3 linked regions of the Neodiprion lecontei genome follow. The protein of the gene in region 3 interacts with the protein of the main gene of each other region in a pairwise test. Links are inferred from orthologs where the notes say so. Each region holds a gene or a part of one and is shown on either strand. Other genes may lie near its edges. The genes, in order: F-box/WD repeat-containing protein 7, F-box only protein 11 and S-phase kinase-associated protein 1.

Evidence for each region.
Region 1: the proteins of S-phase kinase-associated protein 1 (region 3) and F-box/WD repeat-containing protein 7 interact in binary tests that used the Caenorhabditis elegans proteins (3 or more experiments, as listed by UniProt). The link is inferred for Neodiprion lecontei from reciprocal best matches to the Caenorhabditis elegans genes skr-1 and sel-10.
Region 2: the proteins of S-phase kinase-associated protein 1 (region 3) and F-box only protein 11 interact in binary tests that used the Caenorhabditis elegans proteins (3 or more experiments, as listed by UniProt). The link is inferred for Neodiprion lecontei from reciprocal best matches to the Caenorhabditis elegans genes skr-1 and dre-1.

What each region holds. Positions count from the first base shown.
Region 1 is NC_060261.1:2,648,249-2,655,899, forward strand, and holds the start of F-box/WD repeat-containing protein 7, read right to left. Parts: upstream 6,055-7,651; 5' UTR 5,740-6,054; intron 5,085-5,739; 5' UTR 5,022-5,084; coding exon 4,815-5,021; intron 4,731-4,814; coding exon 4,498-4,730; intron 4,349-4,497; coding exon 4,246-4,348; intron 4,175-4,245; coding exon 3,656-4,174; intron 3,261-3,655; coding exon 2,853-3,260; intron 2,693-2,852; coding exon 2,377-2,692; intron 2,278-2,376; coding exon 2,114-2,277; 3' UTR 1-2,113. Other genes in the region: vacuolar protein sorting-associated protein 4, read left to right, coding at 6,770-6,793, 6,884-6,995, 7,176-7,552, 7,650-7,651. UniProt on the Caenorhabditis elegans protein: Probable substrate recognition component of SCF (SKP1-CUL-F-box protein) E3 ubiquitin-protein ligase complex, which mediates the ubiquitination and subsequent proteasomal degradation of target proteins.
Region 2 is NC_060263.1:333,327-341,111, forward strand, and holds the start of F-box only protein 11, read right to left. Parts: upstream 6,110-7,785; 5' UTR 6,104-6,109; coding exon 6,007-6,103; intron 4,897-6,006; coding exon 4,795-4,896; intron 4,488-4,794; coding exon 4,191-4,487; intron 3,828-4,190; coding exon 3,039-3,827; intron 2,953-3,038; coding exon 2,100-2,952; intron 2,026-2,099; coding exon 1,805-2,025; intron 1,730-1,804; coding exon 1,511-1,729; intron 1,398-1,510; coding exon 1,190-1,397; intron 1,069-1,189; coding exon 939-1,068; 3' UTR 905-938; exon of another isoform or gene 1-904. Other genes in the region: CAAX prenyl protease 2, read left to right, coding at 6,289-6,404, 7,090-7,195, 7,265-7,403, 7,487-7,723. UniProt on the Caenorhabditis elegans protein: Substrate recognition component of a SCF (SKP1-CUL1-F-box protein) E3 ubiquitin-protein ligase complex which mediates the ubiquitination and subsequent proteasomal degradation of target proteins including blmp-1.
Region 3 is NC_060265.1:8,168,452-8,172,807, reverse strand, and holds S-phase kinase-associated protein 1, read right to left. Parts: upstream 2,294-4,356; 5' UTR 2,144-2,293; intron 1,241-2,143; coding exon 962-1,240; intron 784-961; coding exon 574-783; 3' UTR 555-573; downstream 1-554. UniProt on the Caenorhabditis elegans protein: Probable essential component of SCF (SKP1-CUL1-F-box protein) E3 ubiquitin-protein ligase complexes, which mediate the ubiquitination and subsequent proteasomal degradation of target proteins.

The sequences.
Region 1 (7,651 bases), on a different chromosome or scaffold from region 3:
CGATCACATGTTCAACAAAAGCATTACAGATCCTTCATAGATTCCGTTGAATCCGAATTTTATTTTCTATTTTCTGTTTAAGTAACTTTGAATTAGCTGGGATCCATCTTAAATATAAAGTATAGGCTGGAGTGTACGCCGTGTTCGATTCGTGTTATGAACATGTCTCACTCAATACGGTAATTATGAACTTTTAGCAGCCAAGGAATTACTAATCAGTCAATTTTATGCGCATAAGATACGTGACAAGATTTAATATAATAATCTAGGGATGGCTAGAAGGTAGATTCTAAATGCCTGTAGAACCCGACGGTTTTTTTAAATCTTCTTTGATAAATAGTATGTTAGTCGTAGGTATTGCTGTGCAATTTGATCCATTTAAGAGATCATCGTTGATTGTAAAATACTAATATTATTTCTAGCACGGCATTTTCCAAATGTAAATACAAATGAAACAATAAATTTCTACAAGATTAAAAAAAATTCTTTTTATTCTTCCAGGCGATATTCACAAGAGGAATATTCTCTTTCAAATTAACAATCGCCGTATTCAATACCTAGATCCCGATGCGAATTAATTTAACAGCAATAAATAGTAATTGATAAAATTAACGAAATCTATAATTCTTTCGAAAATAATAATGCCCTAATCATTCACTCGTTTCCACTTTCGTTCAAAATAATTCAACAGAATTTATAAAGACAAAGGAGGAAAAAAAAAAATCAATCAACAATTATTGCTTTACTGGCATAGATTGAAAAATGTTTGCTTTCTGAGTGTCCACATTATTAATTCCAAGTCAAATTCTAGCACACAAATCATGCATTTTGTTGTACTCATGCTATAATCTTATCATTGAAGATCACAAGGTCCAGAAGATATGCGTTATTGATTCAATTTTGATACATACATACATACATACATACATATATATATATATATGTATGTATGTATATATGTATATATGCACCAATTCTCGACCTATTCCTATCTGAGGATGATACGTGGGAACAAAATATATATATATATTTCATAAATATATATACATATATTTTGTGCGATAAAATATGACTTTTCAACCCGGCATAGCATTCTAAATACCCAGATAACATCAGGTAAGTCTCGTATATTTGAAACTGATATATTGTAACAAATTTTGCGCTGCTGCGGTTGCCCGGTGAAGAAAAAGTGAATCGGCGAATAGCAAAGACCTTTAATTTTTTTTTTAGAATGTTTTCGTACTGTTTTTTAATATTTCTGGCCATTATTTTCGTTGTACTTTAGTTCAACTTAACGTATGTTAACGTGACATACTAGATCTCAGGGCAGTTTTTGCGGACTTGTCAAGTGCACTGTGTCCCATTTATTACTATCGAACGAGTAAGTGGTTTTGTTCCATCATATATATGATAAGAGCGAAGAAGTCAATCTAGAGAAAAAATGCCAAACTTTGTACATACAAAGTCGCTAATTTTAATTCCTTACGATATTTCTTCAATGATTCGATAAAAAAAAACAAAAAAAACTAGGTTTTACGTTAAAGTTTTGATGAGTTGCACAAGTTTCACATTGAGTTGTGAGAAGAAACGAAATCAACTTTATTTCAATTCAAATAAATGGGGCACAGCTCAGCTCTGTGTGAATGGAAATTTTGATTACAGCGATTTCTCAGCACGGGGTAATTCTGTAAATTGTTCTATAAACTGAGCTGATTAGCGCAGTAAACCTTTAAGATCTTGCTTCCTCTTAGGACATAATATGTACATGCCAATAATTGAATTCTTTCAGAACAGTATGAATCCGTTGATAAGATTTATCCTGAATTGTCCAACAATTGCGTAATAACTTCGATAGCTCCTAATATTCCGCAATTTGCCGTAAGATTTGAATTTTATATTTGTACTTTGCAGTACGTACGACCCACAATCAACAAATATTCATTGTGAAGAACCTAACGCTCATTTTAGAACTCCCTTCACAATAATTTCATGCAGTCTTATCACAATCACACCATGTAATACATGAACATTGTACAGTAGATTGGTTATGCTACCTAATTATAGTATGTACAGAAGTCACATAGAGGCGTCGTCTCGCCCAAAGACGGGAAGACTATTTGGCCTCTACGTCAAAGTCAAGAACCAGCAGTTTGGTTTCCTCGGTACCATTACGACTGCCCACGGCACACACCAGCTTCGTATCGCTTGCTCGAATTCTCCAAACTACACCTCCACTACCCCCACTCTCCAGAGCCACAAGATTTCTTATGAAGTCTCCTAAAATCACGTTTTAAAACAAATATCATTTTACAGTTCGGTTCCAATGCGGTAGCTCTGATATTGTGACATTGCTTTGAGCAAAGAGATGAGACCCACCAGTCTTAACATCCCACAGTTTGACAGTCCCGTCATCAGAGGATGTAATCACAAAGTGACTGTTAAACTGCAGACAGGTAACTGCGGATTGATGTTTGTTTGGCCCGGAAAGAGTTTGCAGACAATGCCCACTAACAATATCCCAAACTTTGACTGTAGAATCGGCATTACCAGATACAAGAATATTGTTACGGAGCTCCATGCCCGAAGTAAGAGACTGATGACCCATCAGGGTGTGCCTACACGCTCCCGTCTCAACTTCCCATACCCTAATGCTCGTGTCCAACGATCCACTCACCACATGGATACCGTCAAACTAAACGAGACAAGAGGAAATAGCAATTACTATTAAATGATGTAATTATACCGCAGCAGCTATTTGCTAAGAACATTTTAAATTGTTTCGGATAATAATACTAAATATTACACCTATTACATAAAGTTAAACTGCAATGATTTCTTCCAAAAGCTCTTACTTGAAGGGAATAAACGCGATTGGTATGTCCTTGCAGTGTGTGAAGGCACTCTTCTCGTTCAGGATTCCATACTTTGACCATATAGTCATAAGCCCCACTGACCACGAGTTTTCCATCATATTGCACGCATCTAACAGCTGCGAGATGTCCGACCAAAACATGGAGACACTCCCCTGTATCAACTTGCCACACCCTTAGTGTAGCGTCTCTGCTGCCACTGACCACCTTGTTGCCATGGAGGTGCATACACCTTACTGTCGATGTGTGACCGTAAAGCGTATGTATGCACTGGCCCGTCTCTGCGTTCCAAACCTTTAAGGTGCGGTCTGTGCTCCCACTGATTACTGTAGTACCAGACATCTGTGAGGACCAGACACCACCCGTATGCCCAACCAGTGTTCTTAAACACTGTTGACATAAAATTGATGTGGTTTTATTTTTATATCGAGGGTGCTTGCTTCTGCGTGTTTTATATGGAGCAATGTTCTTATTTCATAGCGGGTACGTCTATGAACATTATTTAGATGCTTTAAAAATGGTGCAATAGAAATGAATGTGAAAAAATCCCAGTATTTTTAAACAAAGTAATATCGCAACATTCAACATAGGACTAGATAGGATGTGATACAATATCAAACATAAAATTTTGTAATTTATAACAAAATCGTACAGAATACTTGGGTCTAACAAAATAATCATATGAATTTTACCGAATACAGTATTTTATAAAGTAGGTACTTGACAAAGAATAATTTAAAATTGTTACAAAGTACGGGAAATAGAGTTTAAAACATTTGAATTACCTTTCCTGTAACAGCAGACCAAACTTTGAGGGTATTGTCGTCTGAGCCACTGACAATTCGATTGCCAGAAAACTGGAGACAGGTAATGACATGATCGTCGTGACCCTTTAAGACTTTGGGTGTACGAATCGGTTTAGTTCTCCAATTCATTTTTATGTTATGCTGCCTCATATACGCCTGCTTCCATGGCGAGGAGCAACTATTTGAATTTCGACTATTTTTACGTTTTGGCGTAGGTAGATCTTTAAGGTCTTCTATCCCGGTTGCTCGGCATTTTTCTTTCCACAATAGATTGTCATCTGCAAGAAAGCGCCAATTTCTGCATGTTTGCGCGGCTCGCAATAAATCTCTTGGTTCTAAGAAGGCTAAGACTGACAATGCCAACTCTTTAGGGAGTAACGAAATAAAGTCCCTCTGAAATTGTGGTTCGATGACTTGCATCATATGCCGAACTTGGGTTGGTTCGCATCTTTCTATTAGCTCATCAATAGCCAACATCCTTTCTGCATTTGACCATCTCTGTAACAATTTATTTTACTCAAAGGTCAATTGTCATTAATAACATAAACTCCACAGTCTTCACCACTTACCTGAAACTGTAATAACCAACTGCTCATTTCAGGTGGGGGATTGTCTCGGGTCGGAATGATGCTTCTCACATGCTTCCCTTTGTCGTCAACCCGTTTCACAACCCTACAAAATTAGTTAAAATTAAAAATAGTTTACAATGATCTAACACAATTATATCTCCCTGTTGCAAGCAAATTGGCATTGTTAAACAATTGTATGTACCATATTGAATTTCAAAAAAACAAAAAATGTAACAAGTTCAAACTACTCACATAATATAAGTCTTTTCCTCTGGGTTAAGCTTTTTACAGGGCAGTGTAGACTCAGCTTCGCTTTTACGTTTCCTCTGAGGCTGTACTGCGTCTAGTGGAACACATGTGTGAAGTATGGGACTAAGAGGTCTCGGTGGTAATGTCGGCGATGATTGCAACGATAACGAATGGCAGTCGTTGGCATCATTCTCTTCTCCACATTCGGCATCGCAATACATGCCCCCATCACTTGTCTGAACATTGATGAAAAGAAAGTTTTAAATAAGCAGAGTAACGACAACATACTTTTGTATTTACAATGCTCTTCTCTTATCTACCTCGCTTTCTTCATCCATACTATCCTCTTCTTCTTCCTCGCCTTCTTCTCCATAATCCTCAGACTCCCCATCGTGCACAAGTGCGGATTGCAGAGGATCTAGTGTACTTGGTCCTGGAACACCTTCAACACCTTCAACGGGACTAGGGCTTGTACCTCCTGGTTTTTCTCCTCCTAACGCCTTGGACGACGACGAAGGGGTAGACATCACTGAGTTCTGGCGTTATCACAGGCCCAGAAAATTGAAAGCATTATATTGGAGTGAGATTCTCTAGGTCAAACAGTCGTCATATTAATCTTTTGCTGTGTAATGTTTGGACGGTAAAAAGATGTTTCATACTAAAATAACATATCGAGCTAATTTTGCACAGCCACTGCCGCTAGAGAATTCTTTGAGATAGAGTAAATATTAAATGAAAGTTAAGAGCTCCAAATCACTGCTATTAAAAATGAAAAGCTTCCAATTTGCAATATTGCTCCTAATTTGAGCCACAGTTATGAAAAGAAACTTGTTTATGCTACACCTGTGATCGACGACAAGTATGGTCATGATATTGGTTCGAAATGAAATGAAAGCAATTGATACATAATAATAATCAGTCGGAGGTATTAATGAATTGAATTAGATTTTAATGGAGGTTAAAGAAAATATGTGAAAATGGTAAGAGAGGTGAATTGAGGTGTGTGATAAAAATCACACGGATGAAATACACGGATGATAATTCGAACTACAATTGAGGTAAACCCTAACCTTGAAAAAGAGCACAAGTAGAACTTGCCATTTTGAAGATAGCCTTTAAGAGAAAATGTAACAAAGGGCCGGTTTGCCACACCCTGGGAAGCAGGGAGCGATTTACCACTCGATAAAATGGCTAGATGCAAAACGGCGGTGAAAGAAGTGTGGAAAAAATCAAATAGGTTCATACATGGTCGACTGATTTCCACTTCTCTGCCTTCCTTCAGCGGTACGGGTTTATTCAGTGTCTCGCCTCGCGCGAGACGTCCCAACTTGTTCGGGGTTGTAATTAATTTTCTATCAACTACACACGGCACGCATTTCTCGTATGGTACACCTCGGTTAGGTTATAATCTCGCAAATTTATTCCCCACAATTATTATTCCACCACTAAACTCTGCAAATAAAAACAATAAACGCTGATAAACACGGCGTAGGATCCATCGACGAACCGAAGTTGTTCCCTTCGAACTCCGTGCTTCGCACGATGCCTTTGCACATGCGTTTACTTCGGTTAAAAGACCACGTTCTCAACACACTCTAGCCGCGTTTCCACTGATCTCTGTACTAACTGGATGGCTGACTAGTGACTAGCGACCTAGGCCCTTTTGATTCGATCAGAAGCAGACGAAATCGATACCAGCGCCTCAATAGCCTTAGTGGAACTAACGAATCACGTGGTTTATTGCGTATGTCATTGGTTAAAGTGACAAGACCATGTGACTAAATCTGTTTCTGATAGACTATCACCCGGGTGACCCGTTAGTTTAACTTCGGGTATTGTAGCGCTAGTGTCGGTTTATGATTTGGGGCTCACGAGATCAGTGCTCATTTCCACATCTCTACACGACTAGTTCACCCGGAACTCCGTGAGAGGACGCCAAAGCTGCGTTCAAATGAGATCGCCCAAGGTTTTTTTTGCCTTGATAGTCCCGATGCAGCGGTGGTAGGGTCATGGTAATGGTAGAGTAGGAGTCACCGTCAGTGACGTCAGAGACCTAAATTTTGAAGGTTAAAAATTTGACAGAACAGCAAACTTCTCCAATCGAGAGCGATCGAGGCAGTTTACGCAACGTGCGTTCGATAATTTATTTATGGATAACTGAGCTTTTTTTGCACGTGTATAAAACAGCATTAATATCATCAGTTCAAGACTTTCTTGAATTCCGCATACTTCACTCTGGTGAGCTAAGGTTAGGGAGGAGCCATTTCACAATAAAATGGCAGCAGGAACAACATTACAGGTACTAACTATTGGGAAGGTTTCCTCAAATTTTAAGCCTGGATATTTTCAATTGACCAATTATTCTCGTTTTCTACCCGTATAAATACAGAAAGCCATAGACCTGGTTACCAAGGCCACCGAGGAAGATCGGAACAAAAACTATGAAGAGGCTCTGAAGCACTATGAACACGGCGTTGAATACTTTCTTCATTCAATCAAATGTACACATCATCAGTATTTACATGCCTCAGACTCTCGATTCTTCTTCCAATTCACTTCTGTGGCATGAATAAGTTTTCTCAAATACATATTTGTTGACTTTGTTTTCAAAATGCAAACACTTTATTCAATGTTCACTTCATTCAACTTCGCTTCATTTCACCAATCAAACTTGTTTTCAGATGAGGCTCAGGGAGAACGGGCCAAGGAAAGCATTAGGACAAAGTGTTTACAATACCTGGACCGAGCTGAGAAGCTGAAGGAATATCTAAAGAAGGGAAAAAAGAAACCGGTCAAAGATGGAGAGAGTAATTCTAAAAGCGATGATAAAAAGGGTGACAGTGGGGATAGCGACAGTGACAGCGATCCAGAAAAAAAGAAATTACAAAGCAAATTGGAAGGGGCAATAGTAATTGAGAAACCACAAGTAAAGTGGAGTGATGTCGCAGGGTTGGACCTTGCTAAGGAAGCTCTAAAAGAGGCTGTTATCTTGCCCATTCGTTTCCCACATCTGTTTACTGGGAAACGTATCCCATGGAAAGGCATTCTGCTCTTTGGCGTAAGTTTCAGACCCAAAACCCTTCAATTTATGTTATATGTATATTTTTGTATCATTTGTTATGTATTCCCACTATATATGTTTATATTTATTCCAGCC
Region 2 (7,785 bases), on a different chromosome or scaffold from region 3:
ATTAAGAAACGTGCTTGCATAGGTATGATACATACACTTTTAATTAATATTGATGAGTTATGTTTTCTGTTGTTCTTTTGTTTCAGTTTCCCTTCTTTTGCATTCACTTATCGTTTTTCATTATGTTTAGAAGGAATTAGCTACCTCAGGCTGCGTCATGTGTATCAGTTCAGTTTTCAGTTTTCAAACTCGATATTTTTCTCATTGTGCAATTAGGTATTTTATTTTTATGGATACAAAACTGACTGCGACAGAGTTCTTCATCATCGTTATTATATTTTGAAACGTTTATGTAAAATTTAGAAAATTTTAGCATCATATAACCAACAACCATTCGTTGCGTGTTAACGACAATGTAAATTTCAATGTTCTTGTATATACCAATAAATCTCTACTTGTATTCAAATTATGCTTATATACAAATATTTTATTCGACTATCAAGAGAAGCAACAACTGAGAGGAGCTCTTGGTTTTGGTAGCTGTTCTTCTCTTAATGTGTCTCAATACCATTGATAATGCACAACTTTTGGTTGAAAGAATACAATGCTGTATTTAGACATACGATATAACAAAGTTATTGGAATTAAATACGCGTACGCGTATAATCTATTGTAAATAAATAAAAACATTAAAAATGGTAAAATTCATGTGAAGATGAAAATAAGTGTTCAGTGAAATTTAACAAGAAATAATTAGTAAAATAGTAGGAATCGCACGGTCTTTCCAATAGTTGGGTATGTCATTTGGAATTTGGTAAAGCTTTAATTATTCAGTTTGCCAATAACTCTGTCGATATTGGGATTTTCATGAGTTTAATAATAATAATAATGATATCAAAGAACTCGACAACAGATTACTATTGTTATTACTGCACGTTTATCTCAACGGATCCATCTAACTTACGGATTTGGGACCAGTTGGTTCATTTTAGCTACATCTAGTTGACCATGAGCGTGTGTGACTCCATGGGTGCAGCACTATCATATAAAGTATCGGTGTCCTGCGTCGGCTCACCCTGCAGCTGACACTGGTTACTCAAGGTTCCAGCTCCACAGTCGCAAAAAAATCTGTGCACAAGAATTTTTGGTACTGAGAATGTGGAATGTATTCGTTGGTGAGACGCTCGGGAGAATCGCCTGAAATGGAGCCATGATTTCGGGGGTTTTCAAATAAAATAATACTACTCACCTATCGTGCCGGATGAATTCTACGTCGTGGCCAGCGTGACAGGTTTTTATACAATTTACACAGATAGCATTACGATCTGTCGTATTGCACGTTTGACAACGGTAAAAGTCATGCATCGGGAACGACGTGTACGATGAAATTTTGTAAAGACATTGGCCATTACCGACAGCTTTCTCCACTGCGTCTTGATTGTTGAATATCTTATTACCTACAGGGCATAAAACGTAATGTAAGAATTACGATTATCGAGGAGATTAACTGGCAGTGCATAATCTTTGCAAACCATAAGGAAAAAAAGTATGGAATCGGCTCGACCTTTACCTCTAGTTGTTGGCTGAACTCCGCTGGCGAGACAAAGACCTCCAAATCGGTTGTTGAAGATCTGATTGAACTCCAATGTGGCGGTCGCGTTGTTCGTTATCTCGACTCCTGCGGCTAATCCATCAAAAATACGATTTCTCCTAAGGACTGGATGCGATTGGGTTGAAATTAGAACTCCAGCCTGCGCATTTCGGAATATGTCGTTCTCTTCGAGTATACCTGTTATTTGGACAAAGTTAAAACAGTGAGGCTTAATTCCGAAAGTACACATACAAATGAGTTCAGGGTACAAACCTTTTCCCCCATTGAATATACAAATTCCGCCATCTCTTCCATCGAATATTTTATTCCTTTTTAACGTTGGATTACTGTCAGTTTTAATCCAAACACCTGCCATGGCATTGTCGAAAATTTCATTCTGTTCTAAAAGGCCTAGACCGCTATTGTACACGAGGACTCCACCGTTTTGTCCACCCCATATTTTGTTCCCTCTAATGACAGGATTGCTCCCAGTCCTGAAAGGAAGAATCTTTGTCAATAATTTGTTATACGTAGCATAAATAACGAAATTCTCAGTCTCAAATCATACCTAATCTGTACTCCAGAATACAAATGATTGAAAATATCATTGTCTTCCAATTTCCCATGACCATTGTCATAGAAATAAACTCCGACCTGTTTGCCACTGTGGATTCGATTCCTTCTTAAAACTGGAGTTGATCCCGTCGTTATCCAAACCCCGGCCAACGTATTGGCGTAAACTTCGTTTTCCTCGATCAAACCTTGACCTTTTTCATGAACATATATACCACCATGTTGTCCATGGTGAATTTTGTTGTGTCGGACAATCGGATCTGAGTTCGTCCGGATTTGTATCCCGGCGAGAGCATTGCCGTAAATGTTATTATGCTCTATAAGGCCACGGCCTTCGCCAAATATGTAAACCCCACCTTGATGACCATTGTATATTTCATTTCTACGAATCGTTGGATTAGAATTTGATGTTATCCAAACGCCAGCAAAATTGTTCGAGTGAATTTTGTTGTCGATGAATTGTCCAAGACCGTTCTCATGAACGTATATGCCGCCCGTTTGACCATGATGTATCTCGCAGTGCACAACGGTCGGATTAGCACCCGCTTTGACTTCAAAACCAGCGATTCGATTATTATGAATATCATTCGCCTCAAAGTATCCTAGGCCGTTATCAAACGTAAATATCCCAACATCTCTACCGTGGTGGATGTGATTTCTTCTCATAATCGGATTCGCGTAGTTTTTCACCCAAATCCCCGCCAGTGCATTTCGGGATATTTCGTTGTCCTCATAGGTGCCTTGGGCATAGTCCGTTACATACAGGCCAACGTTTTCGCAGTCAGATATGTCGCAATTTTTCACCACAGGATTTGCCCCAACACCCGACACACAGACCGCTGCTCCAACTGTTTAATCAAAATTCATATATTAATATCAATGAGGGACAATAGTGTCAAGGTTGGAGAGTTTCGTGTCAATCTGAACAACTTACCGACGCTCGAACTACGAATAATGCAGTGATCGACCGTTGGACTACAATTTTCGCCTACTTCCAAACAGTAATGTTTATGATGTTGTACAGTGCTGGTTACATCAGGTGTGAATTTGAGAGTGAGGTGGCCTGCGTACGCGCGTTTAGCACCTTCAACGAACATGACTGTCGATTCTGATTCTCTTTCTAAAATAACAGACTCGGCGACGTTGCCTGCGGCAGCTCCTATCAAAGCTACGTCGCAGTCAATGATGAGAAATTCACCACGGTATGTCCCGGCATGTAAAAATACTAGGTGCAGGGGCGTTTCCTCGGTGCCTTGCGAATTATTGATGCAACAGTTACCTTGAACATTGGTAGTTGAGTTCGCATTTGGCGTCGATCCATTGCTACTCCTATATTCTTCAACAAAGTCTAAAGCCCCTTGTACAGTGTTGAAATATGGGAGATTTCTACCCTTGAATTTAAGATCCTGAAAACCAGGCCTGACGTGCACTCCTCTGTACAACTGTCGAAAACTTTCTTTCCAGGGGTTCGAATAATCCGATTCGTCCGGCGAGATAAATTCGAATTTACAAGGTGCCGGATTAAACAGTGGCAAATCATACTCGTAAACTTGCTGATACAACGACTTCCACAATTCCGTGTCATTCGCAATCGCTTGAAAACGTTTACACACTTGCGAGACACGGCACAAATCTTGTTCCATTAAGTAGTTGAATATCGTCAGCAGCACCTCATCCGGCAACTCGTACTGTAGGTAGTGTGCAGCTGTGTTTGTATTTGTGCCTACCGCAGAGTGAAATAAATAAATGAATATTTTTAGAAATATAATGAAAAAGTACGAATTGATTTTCAATTTTCCTCTAGTGATCATTTAAACATTACCCCTTCAATTTATGTTTAGTTTGAAATAAGGTAAAAGCGATTAAGTAACCTCAGTGTTAACACAGAGTTGAAAAAGAGAATACATGTATAATCGGATTAAGTTGAAAGTTTGCTAATGAAGCTGAAGCTAGCAGCCAGGTTCAGTGTGACAATTGCTAAACTCCTGCTCAGCAATATAATGCAATACAGTTTTACATCGATGGCGAGTAAAAGAAAAGATTTGTAATCTTTATTTGAAGAAAAGAAGAACAATTCATTGCCTACCATCGGTTGAAAGTGAGCACGTTCTCCTAGGTCGCTTTCTGGCTGGTAAAGATGAGGTTCCAAGAGCAGCGGCGATACTGCTTCCTCCGGGAGGTGGTAGTGCTGAACTCGTGCCAGGTGCAGGATCCGGATGCGGGGGACTCTTACGGCGAAGATCGTAGGGTGACGAGTGCGAATGAGACGGAGAAGGGGCGGCTATCCCCGAAACACTAGGCGAAGATCCTCTGCCTCCTCCTACACCCCCGCCTCCTGAAGGAATTGGATTTGAAGCTGGACACGGTAGCTCGCATGGTTCGGCTGAGAAAGTGAGCATGAAATTTTTAAATCTTAATATTTGAAGGATATTGATGCAGCTATGGATTTCAAATATTTATAAAATAAATATTTAAAGAAAAGAACTGGTCTCTCCATCTCGTCTTGCTTGTTCTTGTATGAGCACACGACTTGGCTCTAATGCGATAAGTTTTGCACCGATTTATTCGATAATTGAACTTTCATAAAAAAAAACCATCACTATTTTGATCATCATACAAAATTAGATCGAATCATTTCAATAGGTAAATCAGTTTCATAAATATTATAAATTTTATAACTTAGGAAGCACCGATCAGGCTTCTTGAATATTGACGGCGTCTCTGGCGATTGTAGAACACGTATCCACGATGATAGAATTTTTCAATATAGAGATTTGAAGTTAATCTTGTCCCTACAAGGCAAATGAATTTTCTTATTTAATTCATAGTCCTCAGTGAATAAGATGAGATAACCATAAGTTATGTATGGGGAAAAAAAAAAACACACACACACGTAGAACGTTGTTCTTAGAGCAGCGCAGATAAAAAACACAGCAGCAACAATGGGAAGTGTAAATCTCTTACATCAAGGAATAACGCAATGGAAAGGTTATTTTTATACATTGAAATATATTTCAATCCACTGTCCAAAGCTGTAGTGGCACAATGTATAGATAGTGGAAATTTAACATAAATGAAATTGAATTCTGTGGCACATCTGCTGTAACTACAGCATATGCTAAAAAATTCATTAGCATACAGACGTTTTTCGTTGCAGACACACGCTACCTAGAATTAAGACAGAAGCAGCGTTTTCTTATTGTTTCATAATTGTATAGTTTTTGTATGGCAAATTAATATTAATTGTGATCGATTTCACGTGACATGATTGGCATTTAAAAATGCCGGATTACACGATTCTGAAATTCCAGTTAGGAAAATCGAATAATCCATGCACCGTGAATATTTATATGACACTCCAGAAGGGTAAAGTAGCTTGGTATAAATGGAATAGACGTCAAATAAATATAGTTACGTCGGGTACACCTCTGGGTGTGGATGATGATAATCGACATTTTTGGGGAGCTTTTCTCTTTGTTGCTCTTTCACGTTACATCGATACACACGTATGTATGTAGATACGCATAATATGCTTTGCTGCATATGTAGTATATTAATTTTTCTGCTCGTTGTAATCGAGATTAGGGAGGGAATGCCGATTTAGTAGTAGTATGATCGTATGCATGTAAGTAGGTACATAGTGTGACAAATGTCCATGCAAATCGGATATTGTACGAACTCGTTGGTAATCGGAGAAATGACATTGGATAATATTTAATAATAGATCGTACAATGAGAATAGACGATGAGAATAGGAAAGAGGAGAATCGATGTTAGTTGAGTAGGCAGGAAAGGAGTCGGAGCGAAACGCAAGCTGAACGACGAGCCGAGCGAGCTAAGCCGCGAACCTTACGAGGAGCAGCAGTAGCAGCAGCCGCCTATAGCCCCGTTCTATTACATACCCGATGTTGTTCTAGAGGGTAACGGGATTCTGTTGGCGCCTTTCCTCCGGGATCTGCGGACGTAGCTACGTGACGATGTGAATGACGCGCTCGGCATCTTGAAGTTAGGTGTATCCCGATTATTTTATAAGAAAAACGGGGAAAAACTATACACTAAACAATGGCGACACATCCATCGAGCACGGCGGCCATCTTCTCACTACACGGACGACTACTGCGCGACTGCCAATCGGACACGATTTTATCCGCTATAGCGTGTCACGTGATTCAACGAACGTCAGTATGGTGGAGACCGAGGAAAATACAGATTTTTCTCGCACCACCGCGATTTTGTCATGTTTCACGTTATCTGTCGTCTACGTAGCCAGTCTCTACATATGGAATTCGCCGTACCATAGGTAAAATTAATTCGCGAGCCTACCCGTAGCTGCGTATATCATCGTTACGCCCTCGCGCCTCAGCCGCACGATGTATGTACATACATAGAACTAGCCCTTTAACAACGGACCACGAAGAAAATGTATAACTGTTTCGTGCCCCAGAGAGCCGCCGGATTCTTGCTCGGGCCCCCGTCTAACTCGTCTGTCGGTGCACAAATTTTCACGATCAACTATGAGTAAATTTTCATGGCCGATGAAAGCCTCGCTTGGCTTTTGTCGCGTCGACTTTCATTTACTCGTTCCCCTACAACATTCGTTTTACTTTTAACGACACTCCGCGTCGTTCAATCGTCATAATCGCAGCACGCACGCGACACGCACACGGTACGAATGCGGGAATCGACGCGCGTACTGCTAAACTCGTCCAAATCAGGTTGCACCCACTAGCCCTTGGAAAGCCAGCCAGCCTCCCCCCTCCCCCGGAAGCCTCTACACATCGCACACTGTTGTTTAATTTTCATTCAACAAGAGTCAAAGAAATCGACGAAAAACTCCCCCCCTCCCACATTGTCGCATCGGCGCTCCGCGTTTCTTCCCGATAATTCGAACTTCGATTTCCCGACGCGCGCTGAAAAATTGATCTCAAACTTATGGGGAGGAACTATAGAGGAAATGGAGATGAACTATAATCTATTTTTTACAGAGAGCATAATGAGACGATTAAAAAAAGATTTCTCAGCGCCTTTATCATGATGTTTGTGTCCCCGTTATTCGTATACTTTGGAATAAGCAGATCCATGTTACAAAAGGTACGTTATTTCGTTTCATTGGCACTGTTTTTGAGCAACATCACATGTAAATAATTAAACCAACTTCAGACTACCATTTGGGAACTGCTGGGCATAAAATTGGTCGGTTTATTTCAAGCGGCTGTTTTACCGCTCCTTTTAACCATGATATTGTTCTTGGGGCCACTGAGTGTCCAGGCACTGAATGGGCCATGGAAATTATACGCCGGTGAGTTTGGGAACGCTAAATATAAAATTTTCATATGTTAACGAACAATTGATTCAACTTTGTTTTCAATTTCACCTTTGCAGCACCCATGCACTCTACAAAAAATATTAGATCGCTCATATGGTGGCGGAACCGAATTGTCGCTCCTTTATCCGAGGAATGGACTTTCAGAGCCTGTATGCTTCCGCTACTTCTAGAGTGTTATAAACCTACTACCGCTATTTTCATATGCCCATTGTTCTTTGGCGTTGCACATTTTCATCACGTTATTGAAATGATCAGGGCGGGTGTAAAATTTCAAGATGCTCTTAAGTTATGCAGTGAGTATTTCGGTACATCATTTGAACTAGAAATGCTAGTGTAAGTTTTGTATTTCATCGCA
Region 3 (4,356 bases):
TCACATATTTTATCAAATGATTCGATACACGTATTCACAAGAGATTGGACTAAAGGAAGAAGATCAAAGCTTCACAGATGAGATGCAGATATAACAGATTTCGAAGATATTGATATTTAAATAGACTGAAGTTATACTTGGTTAATTATACACAGAAATTAATCGTGCTATTGTTAAATTAATACTTTCGTGGTATGGATCGTTAAACCGAAAAATCATGTTTTCCATTAGAGAGTGAAAACAGACCGAAAGAAATTGTATCCAGAATGTAAATCTTTCTATTAACGTAGCCAGCATACCTAGAAAATATTCATATCAGCTGCAAAAATTTATTTCTCCAAGCAATTGTTGCTGGTATTTCTAATTTCGAATTAGGGATATTGTACGCAAATGGAGAAACTCGGCTGGAACAGGAATATTCCATTATTGCTAAATTTTTCAGAGGGTGAGTTTTTCTGTTGCGACAAGCTTGAAATTTGAGTTTGCGAAAGACATCTTCAGATTTAACACGCGATAAACCTACAGTTACAGATGATTTAGAAAGCATTTCTTTCGTCCCTCCTCGGATTCTTTCTACTTCTCTTCGCACCATTCATTCTCCTTGCGAACCTGCTCCTCTTCTGAAGCTGTAAAATCGTTCTTTATATTGAACGTCTTACGGATTTCTTCTGGTGTTTTTCCCTTTATCATGTTTGCCACAGTCTTGCACGTTACATCTAGAAGTCCTTTGATGTCCAAGTAATTTGCTGCCAAAATCAGTTCGAATAAGGTTCCTTGATCAACCTGTAAATAAATAAAACGAAGCAAATTAGTAGCTGTCGTTAAAACTATAATGAATCTTGCACAGACTACGTTTCAAAGATGTTTAAGAGTGAAAAATTGTCAAAGAAAATTTTCAAATGAAAGGAATGTGTCTCTTATTAATTATAATATTAGCATTTTGATTGAATGCAAAATTGACCTTCAAAAAATCAGCATCCCAAGAGCTGATGTCGTCAGTTCGCTTCTCCTTGTTTTCATCATCTTCAGGTGGTGGTGGATCATCTTTGTGATACGTAGCCCATTGAATGACCTTTCTCAGGATAGCAGAGTTAACATTTGGTAGGGGAACAATTTCATCTTCATCTTCATCCATTCCCAAGTCCTCCAGCATGGTTTTTATCGTGACTGAACATTTCGCAATTTCAACATCCACGTCGAATACTTCGCCATCCGAACTCTGCAGCTTTATGTTCGGCATCTGTGATTAAAAACAAGACAAACATAAGTTCAGTTACGTCAATATTTCAGGTACAAGAATCGACCTTCTTCTATTATTATTGTTATGTGTACAAGTTTCTTTGTCTTTGAACAACTCCTAGTCCATGTTATCGATCTGTGTATAAACTACATTTCAATGTCATTCAGTCCGTTTACCACAGAGTGAATTGAGTTTGGGACATGGACGTAAACATTTTCTTTCAACGCATTGAACTGAAAAATGCTTACGCATAGCATTACAGAGATTTTTGATGTAGAAAAAAACTGAAAAATAAAATCGATTTCCGCGAAAAGTATGAGGGTATGTTTATTTTTATAACTTGTAAATCTGAGTCATACAACGTTATGAAAATTCCGACGCACGAAGTGAATACGAAAAATGCTGCATGGACAATGACGCGTTTGATTTCGTGTAATTTCGAAAAAGAATATTCGGTCTTTCTCCGCAGCGAGTAAAATTTTTACGGATGAGAACGTCGAGCAGGAAACGTCAGGTAGCGAGTGTCGACCACAGGGATAAGATATTGGCGCGCACGGCAACAACCTTGCGAGAATGAGGTTCGCCGTTGACCCAAGGTTTTGGATAAGGGTTATAAACCCAATAAAATTCGACGGCACGTTAGTGGCGGGCGTATCCGGTCATAATATGCGGAGAAGACACGTTCCTGGAGGGTTTAATGCAAAGCAGCTCATGTCTGGTGTTGAAAATCGACGAATAATTATAAATCATAACAACATGCGCGGGCAACGAATATTCGTCCATTAGCCGATTTCCCGTGCAACGACTTTTCCAACTTCAAGGCGATAAACAATGCCCAGCGAATGTTTTGTTACAAACGTTTTGACCGAGGCAAGAAGCTCCGTAAATAAATTATCGAATTACCTTTCAAGTTACTTCCAATTCTCCGTTGTGTGAAACCGATAATGAATCACAGCGTAACGTTGCCAGGCTCTCTAGTACACTCTCTAGTCTTTAGTTTCTACCTCCCTCTTTTTCGCTTTCTGCTCACCCTGCGATCTCTCTCTGATCATCGACGACAAACTTCAGTCAGCAACACGCAGGCGCAACGGCTCATAGATGGCGCTGTCGGCAGTCAGGACCGTGCTTAAATTTTCAAAATTGGAACACTTCAAACTGAGCGTTGTTGGAGCGATCAAACATCGTGTTTCATGTTGAGTATTTACAATTTGGAAAATAAAACTCATACTTTACTGAGATTTGATTTTAAATTTGTTATTTTTGAAGAATTAATATGCTGAAAACAGCCGACTGGCGTAGGGCGCTATGAATTGCGTTTACGTATTGCGGAAAATTTTGGAAGAGCAGTAAATTGAAAAGGAAATTTAAAATGGCTGTAAGTCTCACATTTTTTTGCTTGAATTCCACAAACAAAATAACTATGGAGCGAAGAAAAAACAGCTTTTATCTGTTTTTTTCAAATTTTCAAGTGCGGGTACTGCCGTATATTAGTGATAACACATAGTTTAGTATTTTAGAATAAGTATTTATTGAGTGGGTTATATATAATTATGAGCGTCGCTTCTCACTCCTGTGTCTCAAATTTACCAACTAGGCTTATATAAAAGTCCCTAGTCCGCAACAGTCACTTGCAGCCTTTCTATCCTATTAAGTAGCATAAACTTTCCGTAATTCGACTTTTCCATTCAAATTTGAATTAAGAAAATGACCGTGTCCCAATATGTCAGAAAATACAAAACTTGCACGTTGCATTTGAACTTTATAACCATCCTAGAGAACTGACGTCGTTAATTTTTGCATTATTCTGTGTAATAAAACGCTAAATAAGCCCGATTGAATCGCTGACCCAGAACGGATCGCCATTGTCGGAATTTTTCCGCCGTGGTCTGTGTAAAGAGCGCGAAGGATCGTTTACTGGGCTAGAATCGTAGAGAGAATCAACGATTCAAGTATTTTGGTCGCGTCTAGTATAAACTAACTGAAGCGTATTAATGAAATTAAAACAAAGCTTTCTTGATTGAGTCTGTTAGTCGAGCTAGAAAAGGGTAGAGCAGCTAATCATGATTGCTCCAACTGAATGAGTACGAACAATAAGTTAAAATAAGTGCTGCTCTTCGCCCTCTTCAACTTTATAACGGGACCAGAAGCTCTTCCCAATGAAACGCATTAAATAAGTCTTAAGAGAAATATCTGTCCAGCGACTGTAGCTGTATAATAATTTTTAACTCGTGCATTACGTTATACTTGCGACGAAATTATTGTGCCAATATTAACGAAAAGCTAGGTTTGAAGATAGCAAAACCTGCAATTAGATATCACAGTAAATCAAATCGAATTGAGTACTGCAAAAACAGAATTGGCATGAATTGGAAAAAAGAAATTAAAACAAATTCAAAAGAATTCGCACATATGTAAGTATTTTCAATTCGCTTCAAATCGAGTTAATTCGGTTTTCGGACTTACTCAATTCTATTCAATTCATTTTGGTTTATTGGGATATCTTCAATTGTTATTGGCGATTTAATGAAGTTATTCAGTTTATGCTTCCGTTAAAGTTGGAATCATAAACGATGAAAGTGTAGAAATTGCGACATGTTTTTACGTGAAAACATTTCTGACAGAAACTTCTGGAATCGAATATTTCAAATGATGTTTGTTTAAAATCTCGCGACTCTTTCCGAAAAAAGTCTCACGTTGCGATAGACTCTAGATAAAATTTTTCTCTCCATGTATACCATTCAAAGAAAGATTCAGGTCAAAACACTCAGACTTTCTCTGTTTATCCTATTCTTTACTCTATGTTGTCACAAAAAATATTTAACTTTCGTCGATTTTGTAGCTCTCCAATTTTTTATTTCAACAATTTGTGTGACTTCGTAAGATCATGTAATTCATTGTTAGAATTGCTCTCAGCGGTGTCCAATTCAATCAATCATTCCGATAATGTATTAATTTCGTTAATTGAAGCAAATTCCTGCAACTGAAAATTATACACACGTGAGTAATATTCCTAGATCAATATTGACCGAGTCAAACTCTGGCACTAACATCTTAGCAATGGACATCGGGTCTGGCAAAATACCTTATTCGTGGCTTCACTAATAGAAACAAGTCAT